3 linked regions of the Astyanax mexicanus genome follow. The protein of the gene in region 3 purifies or fractionates together with the protein of the main gene of each other region. This does not show direct contact. Links are inferred from orthologs where the notes say so. Each region holds a gene or a part of one and is shown on either strand. Other genes may lie near its edges. The genes, in order: mms19, aco1 and fbxl5.

Region 1 (8,046 bases), on a different chromosome or scaffold from region 3:
CAGCGCTTATAAATAAGTTAGTTAAGTTTCACTTTCAGTTTTCGTTATTTGGTTCGTTTTCATTAACAATAATAATTGGTTACTTAGCATTAACATTGTGATTATCACACCAGAGCTTTATTTAAAAATAAAATATATAATTTAAAAAACAGATGCCTACATCTCAGACTATTTTCTGGAGCCCAACCCGACCCGGCCCGAGGAATGTGGTGGGAAATCTCGGCCCGAACGGACCCGATTTCGGGTCGGTCCTCGGGTCAGGTCTGGTTCGGGCAGAGAATCTAAGCTCTAGTCTGATGCACTTTCTGCCATTCTCACCGCTGTGTGCTGAGTAGCTGAAGCGGAGCAGAGTTGCGCATGCGCGGGTGACTTTCTCCGCTGGCTTGAGTTTTACCGGTAATAAGCAAACACACACGGTATGATAACCGTGCATTTTAATACCACGGTATACCGTGAAACCGGTTACCGCTGCAACCCTATATAAGATATAATAAAATATTTGCAGAACTATGAAATATATAATCCGTTTTACTTAATACTGTTTATTTAGAGTGTTAGAGTAATAATATTTACTCTAATAAGAGACTGTAGCTCCGCCTAAGTGTATATCACAGTACCTACATTTGGAGTGTGTTATTAAAACCCTTACCTGCACATTTACATCCTGGAAGAGGGATCTCAGGATGGATACTGCAGAACCAGGAGGCAGCACTGTACTCTTCGCCTGAAGGACAAATATGAGTCAGTCATTTGTTGAATCAGCGTCTCCAGCCTCAATTTCTCCAATGTTCACCTGGTTTACTCAAAGACTGCTTCTGACTCACCAAGGCCTTGAGTCCTCGGAGAACGTGCGGTGTGATCGCATAGTGATCCTTTAGCCTGTTTTCGTAGAAGGCAATCAGGACCTCCACTGCAGACAGGGGTCATAAAAGAGTCAGGAACTCAGTAAGAGTGAGTTAGAACTCAATTTTTATGTGACTAAAATTCATTAGACTAAAACATGGTGGTGAGCTTGGCCATAACGCCCTTATTCTGTCACTTGTGTAAAAAGAAACCTTTAGGTGTAACAGAAAGTGACATGATTCATATTGATACATAGCGATATTGACTGATATGGAAAAAAAATCTAATCACGATATAGTTTTCCATATCGCCCAGCCCTTTCTTCAGAGAAACAAATTTCAGCTATTAATTTAAAAATAGGATTTAGGATTTAGTGGCTCTTTAATTCATAAACCTATAAAGCTGCAGTAATATAGTTAAAAACCCCTACATCAAACTAGGCTGTTGGTTGCCAGCTCCAGTGCAAAATGCACATCAGAAGATGAATAAAAGCTTACCCTCCCTCTCGGATAGGCCGCTGTAGCATTCCTGCAGGACTTCAGAGAGGAGCTGGACCCCTCTGCCTCGCGTCTGAGACTGAGAACTCGTGAGACTTATCCTAAACACAAACAGCAGAATCATCAGGGTCAATGTCCAGAGACTGATAACTGTGCAACACTATTAGAGCTTCTGAGAGCTCTGACATACTATGATATAACACATAACGCCAATAAAGCTACGTTCACATTACAAGCCACGTTGCTCAAATACAATTTTTCTGGTCAGATCGGATTAGTCTATCTTGACGGTTTACATTCACAAATGTAAGTGATCTGTATCTTTGTGTAATGTGAACGAATCTGTCCCTGAAACGTCTCACATGCTGCACATTGATACCTGTATAAACGTCTCCATCTTCACCACCAAAAAAATATATATTATATTAGAAAGACGAGAGACTCGTAGCTTTATAAAGAGAAATGGAATCGTTAGCAGCTCATATATGGATCATCTTTTGCTGGAGTGGAGAGCAAACAACTGGTCTGAAGTTTATGCTCAGATTGAGGAGGTGAAAAAAACGCCAGTTGGTTTGCTTTTGCTGTTTTTTTGCAGCTATAGCTGCATAGCTGCACCAAGAAATGTGTGGGTACGAGAGAGAAACACGTAGCGCTAATGCGTAAAATAAAGAAACAAAACACATGAATTCCTATTTGACCGTTCACATTCATGTTGCATGTCCAAGGATCGGATACGTATCTGATTTAAGACCACATATGAAAGTGACTTAAATTCACACAGCCATGAAAAAAATCAGATTTGAGTCACTTCAGCCAGGTAATGTGAACGTAGCCCAAGAATCCTTGTGCAAGACTTCTAACACTACATTGGCCCAATTTTGTATTAAGCGTAACTTTGTAAGTTGCTCTGTATGAGAGTACCAGCTAAATGCTTAAATGTAAATTATATAAAATATAATATAATGTAGTTAATGCAGAATAGAGGATCTTACCCAAGAGCCTCCACCAGCTCCAGTATGTTAAAGTTTCCAGCTTTGACACCTTAAAGAGAGATAAAAACATGTTTATATTGAGGTTAAGGTGAGAAATGTAGGGCAAACAGACCCTGATAACCATATTGGCTGCAGGCTTCTCCCAAAGCCATAGTGCACGTCCATTCAGGCACTTCTATATATACTGTAGGCAAGGGTTATAGTGAATGACAATTGGTATTTTGTTATTTTTACATGTATTTTTCTATAAATTATCAAATTTATGGTGCAACATCGTCGACATATGCTCAAGTTGCCTGAAAAGTCATGTAAGATGAAGTTAGCTTCATGTTCTCTAATTGTCCCGTTCCACCTTAAATCGGCTGTAGTTACATTCACGCTCCTGCCCGGCGCCAGAATGTGACCGCAGCCCAATTAAGGTGGAACCACGAAATTCAAACAAGAAGCCAACTTCAGCCTACAGGATGTGGGGGAACGTTAGCGACGTGCGAGTCACGCTACCTGAGCATCTCACGCACATTTTGAGAGCTCGTGCTCCCTTTAAAAAAAACACCTGGCTCTGTACCTCACCGACAAACACGTAACATACCTGCCGCAACGTCCGCGGCCTTGCTGTCCACCTGTCCCGCCACGAATTCCTCCACCAGCCCGGCCAACTGAGCGCTTTCGGCCGCCATCGCGAACTAGCGATGTCCGACTCGTGGACGAATCGGCTCCTTGAACCGAGTCTTTGGACTAAATTGATTCACGTGTTCAAAAGAATCAAAACTATAAATATATATATATATATATATATATATATATTTTTTTTTGTATTTATTAATAGCAATTAACATTAAAAGACCAAAACAACATTTTTAATCTTTGTTTAGCAAAATAATAAAAAAAAGAATCTAAACTAATGTATCGTGAAATCAAAATTGTTTTGCACAGTTTATGTATTCTTATTTATTCTCATTTATTTTGACCAAAGTCAAATATATAATATTAGATACATATTTGGGTTCCTGCAACATCAGTTGTGATAATACTGATAAATGTGTACTTAAAATGTATAGAATAAATAAATAAATAAATAAATAACCCATGGCTGATTATCTGTGAACTTTATGTCCAAGAAAAATGTTTTCTTGGACATATTTTTGAGTAGAGTCTCTTAAAAAAAAGAATCGATTCGTTAAACCGAGTCGAACCCAGCACTTTAGGGGGATTCAAAGTGCGTTTCAGCGCGCGCATGCGCACACGGTCGCACGTGCACGTCACTGTTAACGGCCAGATGCGCGTGAACGTGTGAGCTGCCTTTTTATCATCAGAATAACACAGAAACTTTATAAATCAGAATCTACCAGAGTGGACAGACTGGAAAAGCTAAAAAAAGTTCCCTCACATAAAGTTATTACACTAAATGATTATGAATACGCTGGCTGATGTCTAAAACACTGTTTTACCAGAGTTATCCATATGATACTGCCCCCAATCTAAAAATAACTAAAATATATAGACAATAAGTTATTAATTAGTGAATAACTGAAAACCTTACAAAGTTGAATAAACAACATATATGATATATAGCTGATATATGATCAATATAAGTAAATAAAGTTCGAAAAACAGTAAGCATAATAGATGACATGACATGACAAGACATGAAATATCCTCTGTCATATGTGACCATCTTCTGTAATTGTTTTGTAATTTTTCAGGTGATTAAAAGTAGAGCTATTAATATGTAATGTATTCATTTATTTGTTTGCTCCTCATCTAAGATTCAATTGAATTGTACAGTTTAAAATGTGTGATGATAAATGTGAATAAAAGTGATTAAGAAATAATTAAGCATATAAATGAGTCATTTTGAATTGACTGATATCACTATGTATAACAAAAAATGACAAAAACCGGAAATAGGATAAAAATAAGTGAATATCTAAATTCTAAATATTTGCATCTCATTTTAGTGTTTAAAGCAGGGCTGGTATGTTTTATTATTACAGATCAACATATTTCAGCTATTTATGTAAAAAAAATGTATTAAAAATGTAAGTAGTCTTTAAGACATATTCGAGTAGTCTAAACTCTCCAGAAAATAACCTCTGTCATGTGTGACCGTCTTCTATAATTTTTTTGTAATGTTTAGTGAATAAAGGTGGAGCTCTCCAAATAATTAATTCATTAATTTGCTCCTCATCTATGTTTTGATGATAAATGTGATTAAATAATTTAGCATATAAATAATTTATTAAATCAGTTTTAATCGCCTGACATCAATATGTGAGAGGAAAAAAATAGATTAAAACTATACATTTAAATACATATTTAATACATATAAAATATGAGAACATTTAAGGTACATAAATCAACATTGGCTTCGCCCAATCGCTGCAGAGTCCTGCGTGTCGTAGGCACCCTAGTTCCGCGCAAGCGCAAACAGTCACAGCCGAAGCGAATTGATCTGTTGGTGCGACTCGAGAGTGGGGAAACGAGGTAGCTAGAGTTACATATCTGCAAAAATAATCCTGTTACAGAGCGAATACATGTCTAAATTCGGTTCAAATGTTACTCTGCTCTCCTTGTTTTGTTCTGTAGGCTTCCCTAGGTCCCAGGTTTCTGGCGGACTGTAGCAGGAGCGCTAACCGAGCTTTAGCTCCTCCGAGGCGGATAGAGAGAAGTTGGCTCTCGGTGGAGAAGCGGAGTACGGCGGTGCCAGCGGGTCGATCAGCAATGCCGAGTTCCCAGACTCTCAGCGGGGCGACAGGACTGCTTTGGGCCATATCCGGACCGGGGATGTGCTTTAAAACGTCGTGTGTTCAGAAGTGTTAGGACAAAGTTAGCTTTACATATCGCTACGTAGCTAGGGAGCTAGCTAACTAGCCTTAACTACGATAACGTTACATGATACAGTTTAGGATTGGAAGCTAACCTAGCTTAGCTAGTTGGCATAGTTTAAGCTAGTTATTTAGCATAACGTACCTAGGTTACTTGAGTTAGCAAACCCAACTAACAGTCATAGAAGTTTAGAAACTGAAACCAAGCGTGTTATAAATAGCCATGGAGCGTTTTCCTAACTTTTCCTGTTCAAGTTTATTAGTTTAACAAAACAATATGCTACCATTTAATTAATTGGTGAACCTTGGCTATCTTAGCTCGCCTAGTTTGTCCCAGTTAGCTAGCTAGGTTACCTAGGTTACTCAAATTTAGGTAAGCTGGTAAGCTAAGTCTTAAAAAGTTAAGAAACTTAAAATAAGCGTGTTACAGATAGCTATTGAGCTTTTTCCTAACCTTTACTGTTTAAGTTTATTATTTTTACAAAATAATTTGCTACCACTTGATTGGTGAAACTTAGCTAAGTTATCTATCTAGCCTAGTGTGTCCGTATTAGTTAACAAGCTCGCTACCTAGGTTAACGTTACTTGAGTTAGCAAAGTTAACTAGTTTAGTTGGTTGGTTATCTTGGCTAGTTAACTAACTAGCTAAGCTAACAGTTTAGACGTTTAGAAACTGAAACCAAGCTCAAAAATAGGTATGGAGCTTTTTCCTAATTTTTCCTGTTTCAGTTTATTAGTTTAACAAAACAGTTTCCCACCATTTGATTGGTGAACCCCATAAAATAGCCACGTTAAACAGAACAAGGTGTTCCAGAACAGAGAACAGCGTCCGCCTGCCTGCTTTCTTTCCAGCTAACTACATAACCCCAACTACAAGCCCACACTTGCCCACTTGCAGTCTTAGTGTTGCTTGCTGGAGCTATCTATCTAAGCGTTAACACCTCTCCCACAAGCTAAAGCCGTCTGAAGGTGAGGAGAAGTCCCCAGCTCAGTTAAAGCTACAGGTGAGGGGAAAAACCCTGCCAAAACAATCCACCTGTATTTAAACAGGGCTTTCCTGTTTAAACAGCCGCATGTTGATGACCACAACACAGCTGTGTGCGAAGCTCCAGCTCCCCCTTTCAGGTCGTGATCAATAGCAGCAGCCAGCGAACAATGTGGCTCGTGTTTATCTGACCGAACCATGGGAGGATGTGTGGGCAGAGAACGGCAGGAGTCCCGCGGACAGGGATCATCTCGAGGTGGCAGGAGTCAGAGGAAGCGTGGAGGTGAGTGAAAACATGTAGCTGCTAGTCTTTAGGCCTTGAAATTTCACTGTCTATTAGTCAGATTTGTAACTGCAACTCAGTGTATGTCTTTTTTTTGAGTGAGTTTTTAAGTCCCACATTCCAGTGCACACAATTTGTTGGGGTACTGTCAGGTTCAGACTGAATTTGTTGGATTACAGTCGAGTTCATAGAGAATATTTGTAGGGCTGCAGTGTGATTTTAAGCAAAATTTGTTGGGTTGAAGTCATATTGATAAAGAATTTTGGCATCTACATTTAAGTCTGACCTTATACTATAGTCACATTCAGACATAATTTGTTGGCCTAGTTGGGTTTAAACAGAATTTCATATTCAATTGAAAATTGTGGGGTTATGATTGGATTTGGACATAGTTTGCTATTAACAGAGTTGGTCGAGTTACAGTCAGGATTCAGATAGAACTTGTCTAACCCCACATGCATTCTGACCAAATTTATTGGGCTACATGGAATGTGTGAGGTTGCAGTTGGATCCAGATTAAATTTGTGTGGTTACAGTTGGGTTTTGATGGATGATGTACTACAGTCTTTCAGTCTGTTTTTTTTTTTTTTGAAGCAATAGAGAAACAAAGCAGAGAGAGAGAGAGAGGATTGCAGACCTGTATAAAGTACTAGAGGTCCAGATTTGAGTAGTTTTGAGTAAGTTTTTATCAAAAAAGTGACTTGAGTGTTCTAAGCACAACTTTTATATGGAATACTTTTACAAATGTTTTTGTACTTTTTTGTACTTAATTGTTACTGAAAGTAGTACCATGACAGCTTTTCATTCTTTCAGTGATAAGCAGCTTCATCATACCTGGTCACAGTGCAGAGCATCTACCTCTCTGATTTTAGTGATAATGTGGGTTTGGAAAGATTTGTAATACAAAAAAATATATATATCTTCTCCAGTAAATACAGATACAGCATTTTAGTACTTAAGTACAGTAGGGAAGGAATTCTACTTTACTATACATCTCTGGTGGATTACCATGCCACCTGTATCTCTCTCTGGCAGAAATTCTCGTCTGCTAATCGTCTAATCTGAAAACTAATCGAGAGTTTAATAGACTTAATAGACCAATAGATTAGTAGGCTTGGTAAAGACCTAGATACATTTTCTTACGTACACCTGGGGCTGAAACTAATCATTTTGTTTGTTGTAGTTACAATTTTTATAATCATTTTTCGATTATGTTTACTAATTGTTGCAGTCCTACACAACTGTTGCTGCTTTGGACAATACTGGGTAGTGCAATTCTTTTCGACTAGTTAAGAAACCATTTTAAATGACTACTTCTAGGTTATAGACACTGTTGTTAATAGGGTGTAATAAAATACTGATATTCTCTAAGATCACAATATTTTGTTCTGCATTACTCCCAATATACAGCTAGAATTGTTCAATTTGAGGAACTCCTGAGCTGTGCGCTGCTAGTAAATGTTTGAATGGTGATAATCTACTGACTGAGCAATCAAGGATATGGTGCAATCTGCTGGAGACACTTCTGAGAAACCCTTGCTTTGCTGTATGTGTGCAAGCATTATTCAGCTGAATAGTGCCATTGGAAATCCCTGTTTCGATAGGCAGCACAGGGCCACGG
Region 2 (7,554 bases), on a different chromosome or scaffold from region 3:
CTCCTCTCAAAGTCTGTCAACTCAACAAAGTGTCTTTAAGAGTGTTTTAGAGGCAAGTCCATCAGTCAACAATCTTTCACCAAGGGGTAGTCCAAAATTAATGTCTGGTCGTTTTTAAATAGGGAGGCAAGGTAATGTTTTATTATTATTATGCCCCTTTTTGTGGAAAGACTATTAATTCAATTCCTTGCAATTTCTTCAATCTGCCAGAAATGTAATTGACATTTATGTTTTGGAGCAAATCGGGTGAATTTTAGCTTTTGGTAACTAAGTGCATATGGCATGCTGTCAATGGGAGTCTGCAGCACACTTACATTTTCTAAAACCATTTCCATAGCTAGTATATCTGAAATCAAAATTTTTACTAGTAATTACATTACAGTGATATATAATGTTTTGGATTAAAAAAAAAAAAGAAAATGTCGAATAATACAATGTAATATGGTAAAACACTTGTGGATGACATGACACCAATCAATAAAGGCACTGAGTTTGCACAGCTTGTGCTTTTTTAGGTTTTAAAAAAATAGCTTGTAAATAATGTAGTTACTACTTGCTAGCTGGTTAGCTTAGCTTCCTACAAGTGGACTCTGAACGAGCACTCCACCTCATCCACCTGCTCAGGTTCACTTATACACCAAACAAATTCAATGAAACTCAAATAATGAATGACAGAGGGCAATATACCTTCTCTATCTTTACAGCCTAAACTACAGCAAACTAGTGGGAAAAGTTGCCGAGTTAACCTAGTTAACCATCTATCCAATAAGCTAGATAGCTAGGTTTAATTCAGGGGTTACTTCAGTAGCTAGTTAGCCAAATAGTTAGATTAGCTATCCTTAGCTAGCTTAGTTAGTTTACATGCTAACATTAGCTCATCCTACAAAACATTAGCCACCGCTAGCTAAATAACCTAGCTAACACTCAGATATTCAGTTAGTAACACAGTTACTCAGTAAATACAACAATAATAATGATGATGATACTCGACCTGCTGCTGCTTTAGTTAACTCTGCTATACTGGAGACTCAGGCTGCGTCCAGAAACCCCAAAAGTGTCTCCTTTTTCCTACCGATCCTCCTCCTCTCCTCCGTGACCCGGAAACTGATTTCGTGACGCCATCTTGCCGCCTGTCCGAATACCGTAGGAGACGAAAGAAGCCGCTTAAAATCCACCTGTAGTAGGCTTCCAACGGAGGTTACATCAGTGTATCCTACTCCGGAAGACTTTTAAGGATTTTCCAATGACATCACTGCATCCACGCCCACAGAGCACGCGAAAATGGGGAAGGCAACGCCCAAATATACGTCATAAACATATTAATTAACTAGGTTCCTTATCTAATTAAACAGCCAGTAAAGCAGTAATATAATTTATAGTTTAGATAAACTGTATGCTCAGTAAAACTATATTTATGACCCTATGTGTATCATGTTATACATATAAAAACATATATTATTTATAATATATATATATATATATATATATATATATATATATATATATATATATATATATATATATATATATATATATATATCATTTTAATTAATTAATTTATTTACTTATTTATTTTAACTTAGGGACTGATGAGGAACTGAATCCCTCATAAGGCTGAGGTCAGACAGGGCTACCAGAGTCACTGGCCAGAGATGCGGCCAAAAATGCGGCTGGGAGTAAACAGGATTTTATTGGAATATCTGAATTTTTAGCTGTGTGTGATAGTAATGTTCTGAAACGTGCTGATAGTGAGCGTTGTGATTGGCTCAGTTCAACGGTTTTCAACATCCTATCTAAAAGGGATCAGCTGTCCCATTTCCCCAATTACAGCTCCTTCCCTCCATTCCTCCTCCTCCTCCTCTCCTCTCCTCGATTCCTCCACCTTCTTCCGGGGTAGGAGAGGAGGAGTAGGAAAGGAGGAGTAGGAGAGGAGGAGTAGCAAAAGTTTCTGGACGCAGCCTCAGCCTCGACCTCTCCCCCACTCACTGTCAGTCTCTCGGTTAACGTTAACGATACTACAGCTAGCCGGGGTGTTCCGTCGAGTTTTGCTACCCACCGATAGTGCTTCCTAAAAGCACTGCGCATGCGCTGACCTACAGTTTGTATTTATTTCTCGTGTTTTTATTTTGTAATATTTCTATTTTTGTGCTTTAAACAAGCTGGACTCGCTGTCATTGGACAAACGTGTAAATGTAAATGAATTATAATAAATACAATAGTTATTATTTACAAAAAAATACAAAAGCAGTTTGTATGAATCTCTTATCATGATACAGTGATTTATGATATCCAAATATACTATCTACATCTACTGGGACTTCTACTGGGAACAGGCTGCAATATGGTACCTATTTTGTATTTTTACAGTAAAGATACACTAGTGTAGCACGGTTTGACAAGGTAGCACAACTTTTGAGATTTACAAACCTTGTCAAACTATGCTACCCCAGTGTGTATTCAAAGGTAAAATATAAAATATTAGAACATGCACGCAAATTAAGTCTCGGTATGATATTTGAATAGCCTTATCGCTGTATCAGGATAAAGTTATATACATAGTAATTAGAAAGCGTTTTTATCGTTATTTATTCTATTTTTCAGTTATAACACTCAAGCAAACGATGGCAGTAAGTCCAAATTGTACAATGCACCCGGGGAAAAAACGAAATTATCAGGAAAAACACAAGAAAACAGTAAAAATTAAAGTTTAACGCATGCGCAGAGGCGCTAAGTAGCACAAACCGATGGGTAACACAACTCGGCAGAACACCGGTCGGTCACAGCTAACATTAGCTAGCGTTTAACAGACTACCTTACGCAATAACGAGAGTTTAAATACGTTGTATAACCTTAGGCAGCTTTACCATCTACAGCACGGTTTCCTCAAACTTCACACAAACAGCACAGCGCTTATTTTAAACAGGACCAGCTCAGTTACCTGCTCAGCTCCCAAACCCTGAAGTTCTGCTCTGATACCCAGCTAAAGAGCCAGGCGAGCAGCGGCGCTGCTGTTTACCGTAATCCACAGGTACAATACAACACAGAGAAAACACGCAACTCATAAAATAGCATTTATAACATTTCTATCCCTGTCAGCCTTCATAAATACAGAATTATATTACTAATGTACAGCACTGACTGTTTATATATGTCCCTGCACGCTTGTTTCACCAACAAAACAAGTAACCCCTTGCTAAATAAGTCTTTATACCACATTTAATACGGTAATGATTCAGCTGTTTATTAAAAAAACATAGGGGTTTAACAGGGGTCATTATGACAGAGGTTAACAGCTAGCTAATTATTTTCATGCATACCTGACGCTGTTTTTTTCTTTTTCCCCACATTATTAATGCATTTTATAACAGTTTAAAATTAATAAACGCAGTAAAGTAAACTCCTAATTGTATTGCTCAAATAAAACTCCACTCCCTGGGGTGGGTTTCAAGGAACCAATGAACAAAGGTGAGCTATTGCATAACCTGATCTCACTGGTCTGCCTGCCTGCAGCTGGTGTACTTTTAGGAACAGGCTGTGTCCCAAACCACGTAACACTAGAATATACATTTTACAGCCATGTACCCGAGTTAAAATATTACTCCAGTAAAAAAAACGTAGCGTCTCCCCTTGGCTCTCCACTATAGCAAAAGTACAAAATTATTTGTCTTAAAAAAAAACGTAGCTAAATACTAAGTCTGTGTCTGAAACACAAGAAATACAAACTTAAACAGGCTGTGTCCTAAATCACAAGCCACTAGAATACCCCTTGTAAAGCCATGTACCTGAGTCAAATTGGATATTTCTAAAATATTACTCCAGTAACAAAAAAAACGTAGAAGGCATTCCTTTACGTCTTCACTTGAGCAAAAGTACAAAATTATTTGCCTTGAAAAAATTAAATACTAAGTCTGTGTCTGAAACACAAGAAATGCTAACTTGAACAGTCTGTGTCCTAAACCACAGGCCCCGAGCATACTCCTTGTACAGCCATGTATGTACCTGTGTTAAATTAGATATTTCTAAAATATTACCCCAGTAAAAGGAGAACAACCCCATTTAGATCTCCACTAGAGCAAAAGTACAAAATTATTTGCCTTCAAATAAATAGTAAATAGTTAGTCTGTGCCTGAAACACAAGGCAGTTTATTAATAAAATAAAAAAATCACTATCTGAAACAATACGGAGCAATACATCCTAAAGTTGCCAAGGTATGGACAGTTCAATGCTAGATATGCTAGTTCAATGCTGGGTGCCTTCCTGCCTCAGACCCATGCTAAAAAACTAGTTCAAGAGCAGCTGGTCATCCAGAGAAAACCCTGTGCTGATCAGGAGCTAGCCTACCAGCATAGGGTATGTGTTGTCTGAAAGACTAGCTGGACTTGGATTTTTTAAGCAGGGCAGCATTTGGTACATTTCAGACACAGAGTAAAATTACCATAAAATAGTCTGGTTTAAATATCCTATTGTATTTATTTTATTTAAACCAAGTCAAATAATTTTAGGTGAAAAGTCTCCTGTGTCAATCTTGGTTTACTCATCTTTTACAGAATGCCATTAATTTGACACTGAAGTCTATCAAACTCATTATAAACTAAACACTGAATACACCAATTGTCTATAAAAAAAATGCAAACATGCAAAGTTTCAGTTTAAGTTTAATTGCAACTTAGATTCAAGTTTTTTTTTTATGTTGCTTTAAATACAGGTGTACAAAAAGGGTTTTCTTTTCTATATTTAACAATTTATTCCATTATATATGTACTCTTACACACATTTTGCACTGTAATACTGATATTAAATTGTATGCTTGCCAAAAGGGTTCCAGCAGGTAAAAACAAGTTAAAAAGTGTATACTGTAACCTGTTTGATGTGCTTGCTTTCTGTTTTTTTTTTTTTTTTTTTTAGATTTCGAATAATGTAGTGGAGTAAGAAAAAAATGTAAGATATTTATAAAGAGTAGAGATATTTGTCTTTGAAATGTAGTGAAGTTGTAATAAAAACACTAAAATATAAATACCTAAGTAAAGATGAGAAAAAAAAAACTGCACAGTAACCTTCAGTACAATAAAGTAACAAAATGCAATTACTTAATTACTGCCAAACTACTATGATTATTATTACTACTGCTGCTACTACTACTACTACTCCTACTACTGCTGCTACTACTACAGATATTAATAAGAATGGATGCACAGCTTTAGTGTACTATTCTGACCTTGTTTTGAACCTCGTTACAGAATAATTTTAATATGTAATATAATTGGTGCAGAACCATCCGTCCATATACTGATATACACAGAAAACAGTGTTTTGACATTGCTGAAAATATAGGCGTTTTTCTAGTGGGCAAAATATGAACTGTGTTTTAATGTGTTTATAATGTTTATCCTTTGTTTTATTTTATTTTTTTAAGAAAATTAAGTGGTTCCATAATCAATTATTTAACCAACATTTATAGTGCATCAACCAAGGCTTTACTGTAAATGCCCTGTATAATAAAAAAAATGATGAAATACATGATGATGTAGTAGCATGTAAACAGGTTTTTAAGCTTCCCAGTCCACCCATTCAGTTTCCATATGTGTTACCATATATTTTTGGAAACTAAGCTAAAAAAACAGCATTAAGCACTGTCTTCATCACTTTAGCCCTACAACCAAACTAATGTTTAAACTGATATATTTAACCTTACAATACAAGATAACGAATCAATGCAGATCATATTTGTATATTCATGCTGTCATTAAATATATGATTAAAAGGAGAAAGAAAATAAACATTTTCAGTGGAACAAGATTTTATTTAAAATAATTCTGGACTATATGTTTCAACCTGTGCACAAAGGAATTGGAACACAATGTAAAAACAAGACACAAATATTTTTTTTCCTGACAGCTCTGATATATTATTCTTAAGTTAATGACATTTTTGGTGCAATACTCCACACAAACATCCCAGCAGACCTTAGTGATAAACTCAAGTAGAAGAAAAATGCAGAGACGAGCCCTCACAGTCAGCTCTAATCACTTTACAAATGCAAACATGTACTGGTTCACGTTCTTCCCATAAAGCTTATAGAGGCCTGGAATGAGTGGTTGGATTGTTCTGAGATTTAAAGAGCGCAGGGCTGGCTTGGCACACAGCCCGGTAAGGGTCTGATGAAACGATTAGCCATTGGCTATCAGTGATGGAGCTCCTTCCTCTTCTTGCTGCCCTCCCTGATTCTCTGCATCCTGTAGGTCTTCCTGGCCAGAGCTCGCTCTTTCTCCTGCACCTCTGTGTCATCTAGGACTTCCAGGCTGGGAATCTGACTGATAACATACTGCCTAGAGTGGAGGGGAACAAAGCCAAGTCGAGTTGAACTCAGCTTGAACCTTTGATTCATAAACATGTTACCCAAGATTTGAACTGATAAAAAAACAACTGTGATAAAATCAGGAATGAAATCTCGATCTTTCTTTTAACAAAGTATTTTTAATCTACTTTGTACATACACTGTGTACAGTATGTAAGCTCATTTAAAGTTATCTTTGATTTCCCCCTGAAGCACAGAACAGTTTTTGCTATTTTTACAGGATAAATCCCCCTTGTTCAGGACTGAAAGTGAGAAAAGGGGAAAAAATCCAATAATACTACAAGAATTAGGGGTAGTATTTTTCCCCTCCATGGGTCAGTAGCTTTTTCTACAGATTTTGCTTTATTAATAAACAGTATTAAACTCAAGCATGTAAAGATTTTATGCAGATAAAATTGAAACCCAAACTTTCTCAAACACTGTCAAAAGCCAATTTAATGGAAACAATAATTGTAAAAAAAAAAAATATATATATATATATATATATATATATATATATATATTTCTAAGAAATTGTTTAATACATTTATTGGACACAAATGTGTAAAACTGTTCAAAGAAAATAAATATGCAGAATGTGATTCAGTAGAAATGCTTTTATATTTGATTTTTGAAACATGATATTTGATATTTTTTATATTTGATATTTGAAACATGTTTAAAGTAATGATTTGCCTTATTAGTTTTTTAATACATTTACATCATCAAGCTGTCAATACTTTTCTTTTGAGCCTAATACATGAAAAGTATGCTACAAGGACTCATAGTTGAGTAGCTTACCCAGCTTAGGAGTGAAACCCTATGGTCTACTGAAAAAACTACTGTGGATAATTATGACTAACTCCATTACTTATAGAGCCCAAAATGATCTTTTTTAGTAAGAGACCAAAACTTTTTTTATTAGACTGTTTAAACAAGGGGTGCACAACTCCCTTCATAACAACAGTTATGGAGGGCCGGTGTCTGGCACCGTTCGCTTGATAGCCTATTAGTATTTAGTATTTAGTATTAGCCTATTACATTTCAATTGTAACTGAATTAAGCACTCATTGAACTATCTAGTAACACTTTACTGCAGGGCACCATTTCTAACACATGACTTCTAAACAAGCTTTTCATAACAATTCATAACATAAGCCTATATAGGCATTTATAAACAGTTATTCCAACAGCATCTGCTGTCTAATAGGCTTCTATA
Region 3 (7,145 bases):
CAGAGATGCTTGAAATGTGAAATTACACAAACATTACACACTATTTTCTATGGGTACCTAAATAGATTTATGGATTAATTCGAAATTTTTAATCGTTTATGGTTCTAGGTAACCTTTACCTTTCTTCTGAAAAGCATTGCAATCTAAAAATCTAGCAACTATTCAGACTTTTGTCTATAGTTTCAATAAGGCTGATTCTTGACTGTGCCTGATGCGAACAGCGCCTCAGCAATATAACAACTTCTTATTAAAACACTGGCATAAATATCCTTAAACACCAGTTAAAAAACCCATTATTATAGTGGTGACATATCTGCAATGGGCGAGGACAGATACTATTAACAGACGACACTCAACAGTGTCACCGTCTTCCCACACACAGAGATTCAGTGAGGGAAAAACTAACCAAAATGTTTCCACACAAACAACACATAAGTTGTTTCTAGAAATGAAACAACTGAGATGGAAACCTGTGTAGCAACTGCAATATTAAGATATCATCCTGTGGAAGGCAGTTTTGTATATACTGATATTAATTATATATTGATAAGCCCAACGATTTCCACAGAAAATCATTGCCGAACTGAGCAGCCACAAATAAGCCTAAAGTCAAATATCAAATAAACAACTCCAGTAGAGCGGTAAAACAAATTAACGTTAAAGTTAATTAAAGTCTAAAGCCTTTCTTCAGCAAGGAGGTCAAAACTCAATAATAATAATGATAATAACAATTATATCTCTGCTTTGAAGAAAAAGGTGGACAAGATGATATCTACAAACACTTACATGTAAAGCATGTTATGTCTGTGCACAGATATTGACACGCACCTTGACATTGCGAAGGCCTTTTTCAAAAAGCAACAGCATCTCGGACAGCTTGTTGTCAGAGTGCACGTTGTAGATGGTACGGCTGCGCTGCTGCAGCAGATCGATTATGTATTCATTCTCAATCTGCTCATGGATCTTGAACACCTTGAAGGTGGCGCAGAGCGTCTGCAGGAAGGCGCGGAAGTCATTGTTGTTGGAAAAGTTTGTCTTTGACAGCTGTATGTAGTGAAATGAGAGAAAGAAGGAAAAAGGTGTCAATATCTAATATGCATATGTTGGGTATTAGGTGATACGGCAAATAACTTTGAAATACATTTTTATAATTAAAGATAAGCTATATAATATAAATAATCAATTTATAAATAAAGCTAAATAATACTTGCTATGATGCTGGTCTTCACTTCTGCCAATCCTCTTTCCATGTGAGTGTTTAAAAAGTAGCTATACTCCACAGACTTGTCCTCAACACCTTTAATAATCAATAAATGTCTACACATAAATGTCTAGCCAGCTGAGACTAAGCAGCAGTCAGGGAAGATTGGGAGCAGTTTAGGCTGCTTATGTAAGCATGTGCAGCCTGCATCTTTTTGTTGCTGTAATGATCACTTTTAACTAGTTAAACTCTGTTTAACGACTCCCCAAAAAACAAAACAAGTAGTAGGCCTGACAAGATAATACAATTACTGACTAACCAAACAATCAATACAATCCCTAAACAAACTATATTTCCCATAATGTTTACTTACTTAAAAAGACAAATTAAACTATAAGCTATTTATCCATGAGACAGCATGTTTCTTTTAATAAGGAAAACTAAAAATACTCCTAATGAATTATGAACTATAATTAACATTACACAGTTGCAAGAAAAGTATGTGAAACCTTTGTGAGTACTTGAATTTCCACCATAGACCATAGTTTGGATGAGGTTTTGATGGTGTGCTGTGCCTTTTTTCTCCACACATAGCGTTGTGTGTTCTTTCCAAACAACTTAATTTTGGTTTTATCTATCCACAGTATATTTAACCAGTCAGTTAGTTCTCTAAAACATCCAGGTGCTCTTTTGTAAACTTCAATGGTGCAGCAATGATTTTTTGAACAGCAGTTTTATAACAAACAAATTTTAACCAATTTGACACTATAAACACACAGCAAAGCACCATTTATATTAAATGTATGATAACATAAACTGGGAAAACAGTCAATAATCTCAAACTGCGTGCACCTAACGTAAGTTAGATAATAATGTGGGTTAAGCAGTAAACTAAAGATTATGGTAAGTTAGTTAGCTAACACCAGGGATCCTCTCACCACAGCAGCACGTAATGCACGTACTAACCTACGTTAGCTGGCAGCTAAACTACAGCTACCTACTGGGGCTAATTGTAGCTAGTAAGTTAGTCAGGGAGTCAGACATGTTTAATGACTGCGCAGTTAATGAATATTAGTCTAATACTTTTGTAAAGTTTAGAACAGCCTTATAAGATTATGATGTAAGCACAGGAACCGAGCAAAGGAAACATGGCTAGTTAGGTTAGCTATCTTAAGCTTTACGTCTACAGTTAACGTTGGCTAGCTAATGGTGTAGCTGGGTTAGCATGTTAGGCTAGTGTAGCTTAGTCCACTTTTTCAGAATATTTGAAAGAGCTTGTTTCTTATTTTAGAGAGATTTTGGAGAGCAACGTGTTCATAAAACTGTGTAGTAACGTGCTATTGTCCGTTAATTAAAAATACATTTGGGTTTACCTTAGCTACGTTAGCTAGCTAACCTTAGCTATTTCCAAGGCTTTCATTCTTTTGCACCAACACACCCCTGGTTCAGCTTTAGCTAGCTAGGCTACGTCAAGCTAATTCCGTCTCTATCACAGTGTTGAAGACGACACTAGTGTTATTTTCTGTTTCTAACTAATGTCTTTACATGTTAAGTGATAATAATGGTGAACTAGCGATTTACAGCCACAATAAACACGCTGAGCTCTAGTGTTTGGTTAGCTAAGCTAGGCTAGATAAACAGAGAGCCTGTAACTAAGCACCGTAACGACCGTTAACGTTATTAAACCCATTAAACAATATGAATTGTTAATGAAAACCAGTAAAGCAGGTAGCGGTCGGATTCCCAGTATACCTTGTCGCAGTAAAGGCCGACCAGCTGCTTCATTCGCCAGTGTGGCCCAGTGAACACGTCCACCTCGTCCGGGAAAGGCGCCATCGCGCTCCATGGACTCAGTACACAGCTCCACTACAGCAGTACAGTTCCATCAGACCTGACCCCTCACACCGCACCAGCACACACACGCAGGGCTGTGCGATACTGCAAAAATTTCCATCGATCCAATACCAAGGAAATAAAGGGCCAGTACTGCCGATACTGATATGAATACTTTTTACTCTTACCATCTTTTTTGTGTAGGGGAGAGCAATTTATTAAGTGAATGCATCATCAATATGCAAATTTGAATGATTTTTTTTTATTATTATTTAATTATTTTGTTTTATTTTATAAATAATTATGTTTTTGATGGTAATAAAACACAGTTTATAGAAAACTTAAAATGCCCCTTTTGGGGTGGTAATCTGCATTTGCAATTAACAAACAGATTTTTCCCAATGTTCTCTTGACAGTTAACATAAAATATGTATTCAGCCATATTCATATTTCAGTTTTGAGGCATAACTATATCTTTTTGTAGGTAGCATATCTATTTTTCAGTTCCAGTGAAATAATTTATTTAGTTTTAGAAAAGGGGAGAGGCTAATTGAGCATGAGTGAAGTGAGAGAGAAGTCGTGTTTTACAGTCAGTCGGTCACTCTGTAGATGCCTGGAGTTGTACTGAAGATAAACCGAAACTTAAGAAGCAAACTAGAGATTATAGTTAATTAGCTAACGCCATAGATTCTCTCACTACTGCACGTACTAACCTACATTATCTCACGGCTAAACTAGAGCTCCCTACTGGGGCTAAGTGTACCTAGTAGTCGGGTAGTCAGACATGTTTAATGACTGTGCAGTTAATGAATAATTTTGTAAAGTTTAAAACAGCCTTATAATATTATAATGTAAGCATGGGGATGGAGGAAGGGAATAATAATGGCTAGTTAGGTTTACGTCTATAGTTAATGTTTGCTTGCTAAGGCATAAAATGGGCTAGTTCAGTATGAGTGAAATGAGAGAAGAGCAGTGTTTTATGGCCAGTCGGTTAATCTGTACATGCCTGGAGTTGTACAGAAGATGAACTGAAACCTAATCGATCTCATCACACAAGTATTAATAAATACCAACATTAGTATCAATACTATCAATATTTTAAATTGATCTGCCCCTAACACACACTACACAGCCTTCAGCACAAAACTGTGCCTTCTGGGGTCTCATAACTATATTACATACTTGTAAAGTGTAAAATAGTCAGTGTACAGCTTGTATAACAGTGTAAATTTGCTGTTCCCTCAAAATAACTCAACACATTGCCATTATTGTCTAAACTGCTGGCAACAAAAGTGAGTACACCCCTATGTAAAAAAATGGCCAAATTGTGCCCAAGGACATCAGAAGGCACAGTATTACAGTATTCTAAATATATAGTACACCCCTATTTTTGTAAATATTTTATTATATCTTTTCATAGGACACAACTAAAAAAAAATAAATAAATCAGTGAACAGCTTCATGTGTGAATTTGCTGTGCCTCCAAAATAACTGAACACATGGCCATTTATGTCTAAACTGTGCTGATAACAGAAAGTATAGATAGCCCTTTAGTGAAAAAGGCCAAATTATGCCACTCGTTAGTGTTAAATTTGGTATTTTGTGTACAATTCTCTGTTATTTGCCACTTGGTATTCAACATGGCACTTCATGGCAAGAAATTGTGGCAAGAACTGAAATGTTTCTCTCTACAAAGCTGGTCTGATCTATCAGAAGATTGCTAACACCCTAAAACAGCATGATGGCCAAGGTCATACAGCAGCTTTCCAGGATGGGTTCCATTCAGAACAGGCCTTCTCAGAGTCATTCAAAGAACTTGAGTTCACGTGTTCATGTGTAATATACAAGGGCATAGGAGCGGGTTTGAAATTGGGGGGACACATTTGCCAATATGAACCCAAGCCCACCCTGTAGTTTCCTAGAACAACATTTGTGGAAATTACTTTTAATTAAAAGTAAATTATTATTAAAATGTGACTTTACAACCTAAACATGTTATTTGGTTATTATTATTATTATTATTATTATTATTATTTATTGGCATGTCAATTCTGTCATATCTTTACGTTTTCTCCTGCGCTTTATTATTTTCTACTGAGAGCTCTTCTTAAGATGGTGTCCTTTTATGTAAAAGAATGTAACTTTGCGTTTCATAGACATGTGGTCACTTTGAGCTACAAATTAACAGAAGTCAGGTTAGATCAGTGTTTCTCAACCCTGTTCTTACATGTTATACTGCATATTAACACTGTTCTCCATATTCTAGAGCTCCCTCTGCTTTAAAGGCATTTAATAGGGTAAGTGGTGGTATGATGTGTTTAATACACTGCTGGATATACATGATTAATTTAGGCTCCATAGGGGGCTAAGAGATTTTAACAGGTAAACTCGGTAAATGACTGTTTATTAGCCGATCAGCTGGATCAGGTGGAAAACACAATTTTGGGGCAGTGATCAGGGTTAAGAAACTGCTTTAAACTAAAACATAAAGTACTGTACTAAATTCTGGCTATCCACTACATCTGGCTTCTAGCAAACTAGTTAACTAAATGAATTTTCGTTCATTATAGCTCACAGTAAGTCCTGTAATCCTAAATTAATAAACACAGTTTGACAAAATGAAATAGCGATTAGCTGATCAGGTACAGGGCAAGTTGAACATTACATATATAGTTTTTTTCTTTAACCTTGACTCCCAATATAACTAATTCCAAAGTTAAGCTAACTCACTAACACAGCTGCAGTTTATTAATCACAGTGGGATTAAACTTTTTGCTGATTCAGAGACGTGTATTTTTAACCAGCTATCAGAAACATATCATCACTGTTGACGTGGTTAGCCTATCGTTACCTTTTTTTTTTTTTTTTTTTTAAATCTCCGTATATCCAGATCTGTTTTTAAATCAGCTGCTGCTGCAGCCCGATCCCGCTGCTAAATCTCACAGCGAGGGGGCGGGGCTTCCACCACCAGCACACTGCCTCTCCTCCCCGCGTCGCAAAACCAGCAAGCTGATTGGCTGTTTTTACTGAGAGGCGGGAATTAATACATGAACTGGCTCCGTGATTGGTCCGGTCTGTCTCCTCATTAGTACAGCTGATCTGAGCGAAACGATATCATTTTTGGGGGGGGCAACCACCTGTTTCTAATATGTCCCCCCCATCCCCCCCCACCCCCCCGGTTCCTAGCCAATGGTAATATACATAGTCTGGCTTTAAAAAAATAGAGTGCTGTCAGCATTGCTGCAGAGCTTGAAGAAATGGGAGGTCAGCCTGCAGTGCTCAGACCATACAGCAAAAGTCCTAAAAGGGATCCTCTTCTGAAGATGATGCACAGGAAAACACGCAGTCAAAGAACATGGATTACTGAAACCATGTCCTGCCTCAACAACTTGTTTGGCTCAGATGGTGTCCAGAATGTGTTGTGGCATCCTGGTCAGGACTACCAAGAAAACTATCCCTTATCTACTGTCAAATATGGTGGTGATAACATCATTGTCTGGGGCCATGTGAGTGCTGGCAGCACTGGGGAGAATTTCCTGTGACATTCTGAAGCAGAGCAGAAGCTGGAAACTCCAAATATGATAAAGGCCCCAAACCAAAATACCAATTGCTTTGCTGAGGAAGCTCAACATAAAAGTGATTGGCCAAGTATGTCTCTTGAACTTAACCCAACTGAGCATCTGTGGGGCATCCTCAAAAAGAAGGTGGAAGAGCTTTGCGCTCTTTAACAGTCTTTAACATTTACCAGCACTATTTACCATGGAGGAGTGGAAGAGGATTCAAGTAGCAACCTGTGAATCTCTAATAAACTCCAACTGAAAAATAATGGTGCCACACAAAATATTGACACTTTGGGCACAATTTGGCCTTTTCTACTTAGTGGTGTACTCACTTTTTAGACATTTATGACAGTGTGTTATTTTGAGGGAACAGCAAATTTAGTGTTATACGGGCTGTCAAAAGTATCAGTGTCATATCTTCAGTTTCCTACTGAACATTAAAACATTTAACAATGAATATTAAAATCTAAAATAAAAGTCAATGTTAGATAATCACAGTGAAACTATATTTACAGTAATAGGGTCAATCATGTAAAAAATGACTATTAATC

What was found.
Region 1: the proteins of fbxl5 (region 3) and mms19 purify together in Homo sapiens (affinity purification with mass spectrometry; 4 studies listed by BioGRID and IntAct, counting the BioPlex papers as one, with this or other methods). This does not show direct contact. The link is inferred for Astyanax mexicanus from reciprocal best matches to the Homo sapiens genes FBXL5 and MMS19.
Region 2: the proteins of fbxl5 (region 3) and aco1 purify together in Homo sapiens (affinity purification with western blotting; 3 studies listed by BioGRID, with this or other methods). This does not show direct contact. The link is inferred for Astyanax mexicanus from reciprocal best matches to the Homo sapiens genes FBXL5 and ACO1.

Annotation. Positions count from the first base shown.
Region 1 is NC_064422.1:9,099,729-9,107,774, reverse strand, and holds the start of mms19 (MMS19 nucleotide excision repair protein homolog), read right to left. Parts: upstream 3,055-8,046; 5' UTR 3,010-3,054; coding exon 2,922-3,009; intron 2,382-2,921; coding exon 2,333-2,381; intron 1,442-2,332; coding exon 1,341-1,441; intron 911-1,340; coding exon 825-910; intron 725-824; coding exon 650-724; intron 1-649. Other genes in the region: ubtd1b (ubiquitin domain-containing protein 1), read left to right, coding at 6,341-6,425. UniProt on the Homo sapiens protein: Key component of the cytosolic iron-sulfur protein assembly (CIA) complex, a multiprotein complex that mediates the incorporation of iron-sulfur cluster into apoproteins specifically involved in DNA metabolism and genomic integrity.
Region 2 is NC_064415.1:28,092,385-28,099,938, forward strand, and holds the start of aco1 (cytoplasmic aconitate hydratase), read right to left. Parts: upstream 3,033-7,554; 5' UTR 2,939-3,032; intron 2,059-2,938; exon of another isoform or gene 1,960-2,058; intron 1,028-1,959; exon of another isoform or gene 992-1,027; intron 1-991. Other genes in the region: uncharacterized protein LOC103041383, read right to left, coding at 6,183-6,327. UniProt on the Homo sapiens protein: Bifunctional iron sensor that switches between 2 activities depending on iron availability. Iron deprivation, promotes its mRNA binding activity through which it regulates the expression of genes involved in iron uptake, sequestration and utilization.
Region 3 is NC_064420.1:11,522,680-11,529,824, reverse strand, and holds the start of fbxl5 (F-box/LRR-repeat protein 5), read right to left. Parts: upstream 3,106-7,145; 5' UTR 3,038-3,105; coding exon 2,954-3,037; intron 1,045-2,953; coding exon 829-1,044; intron 1-828.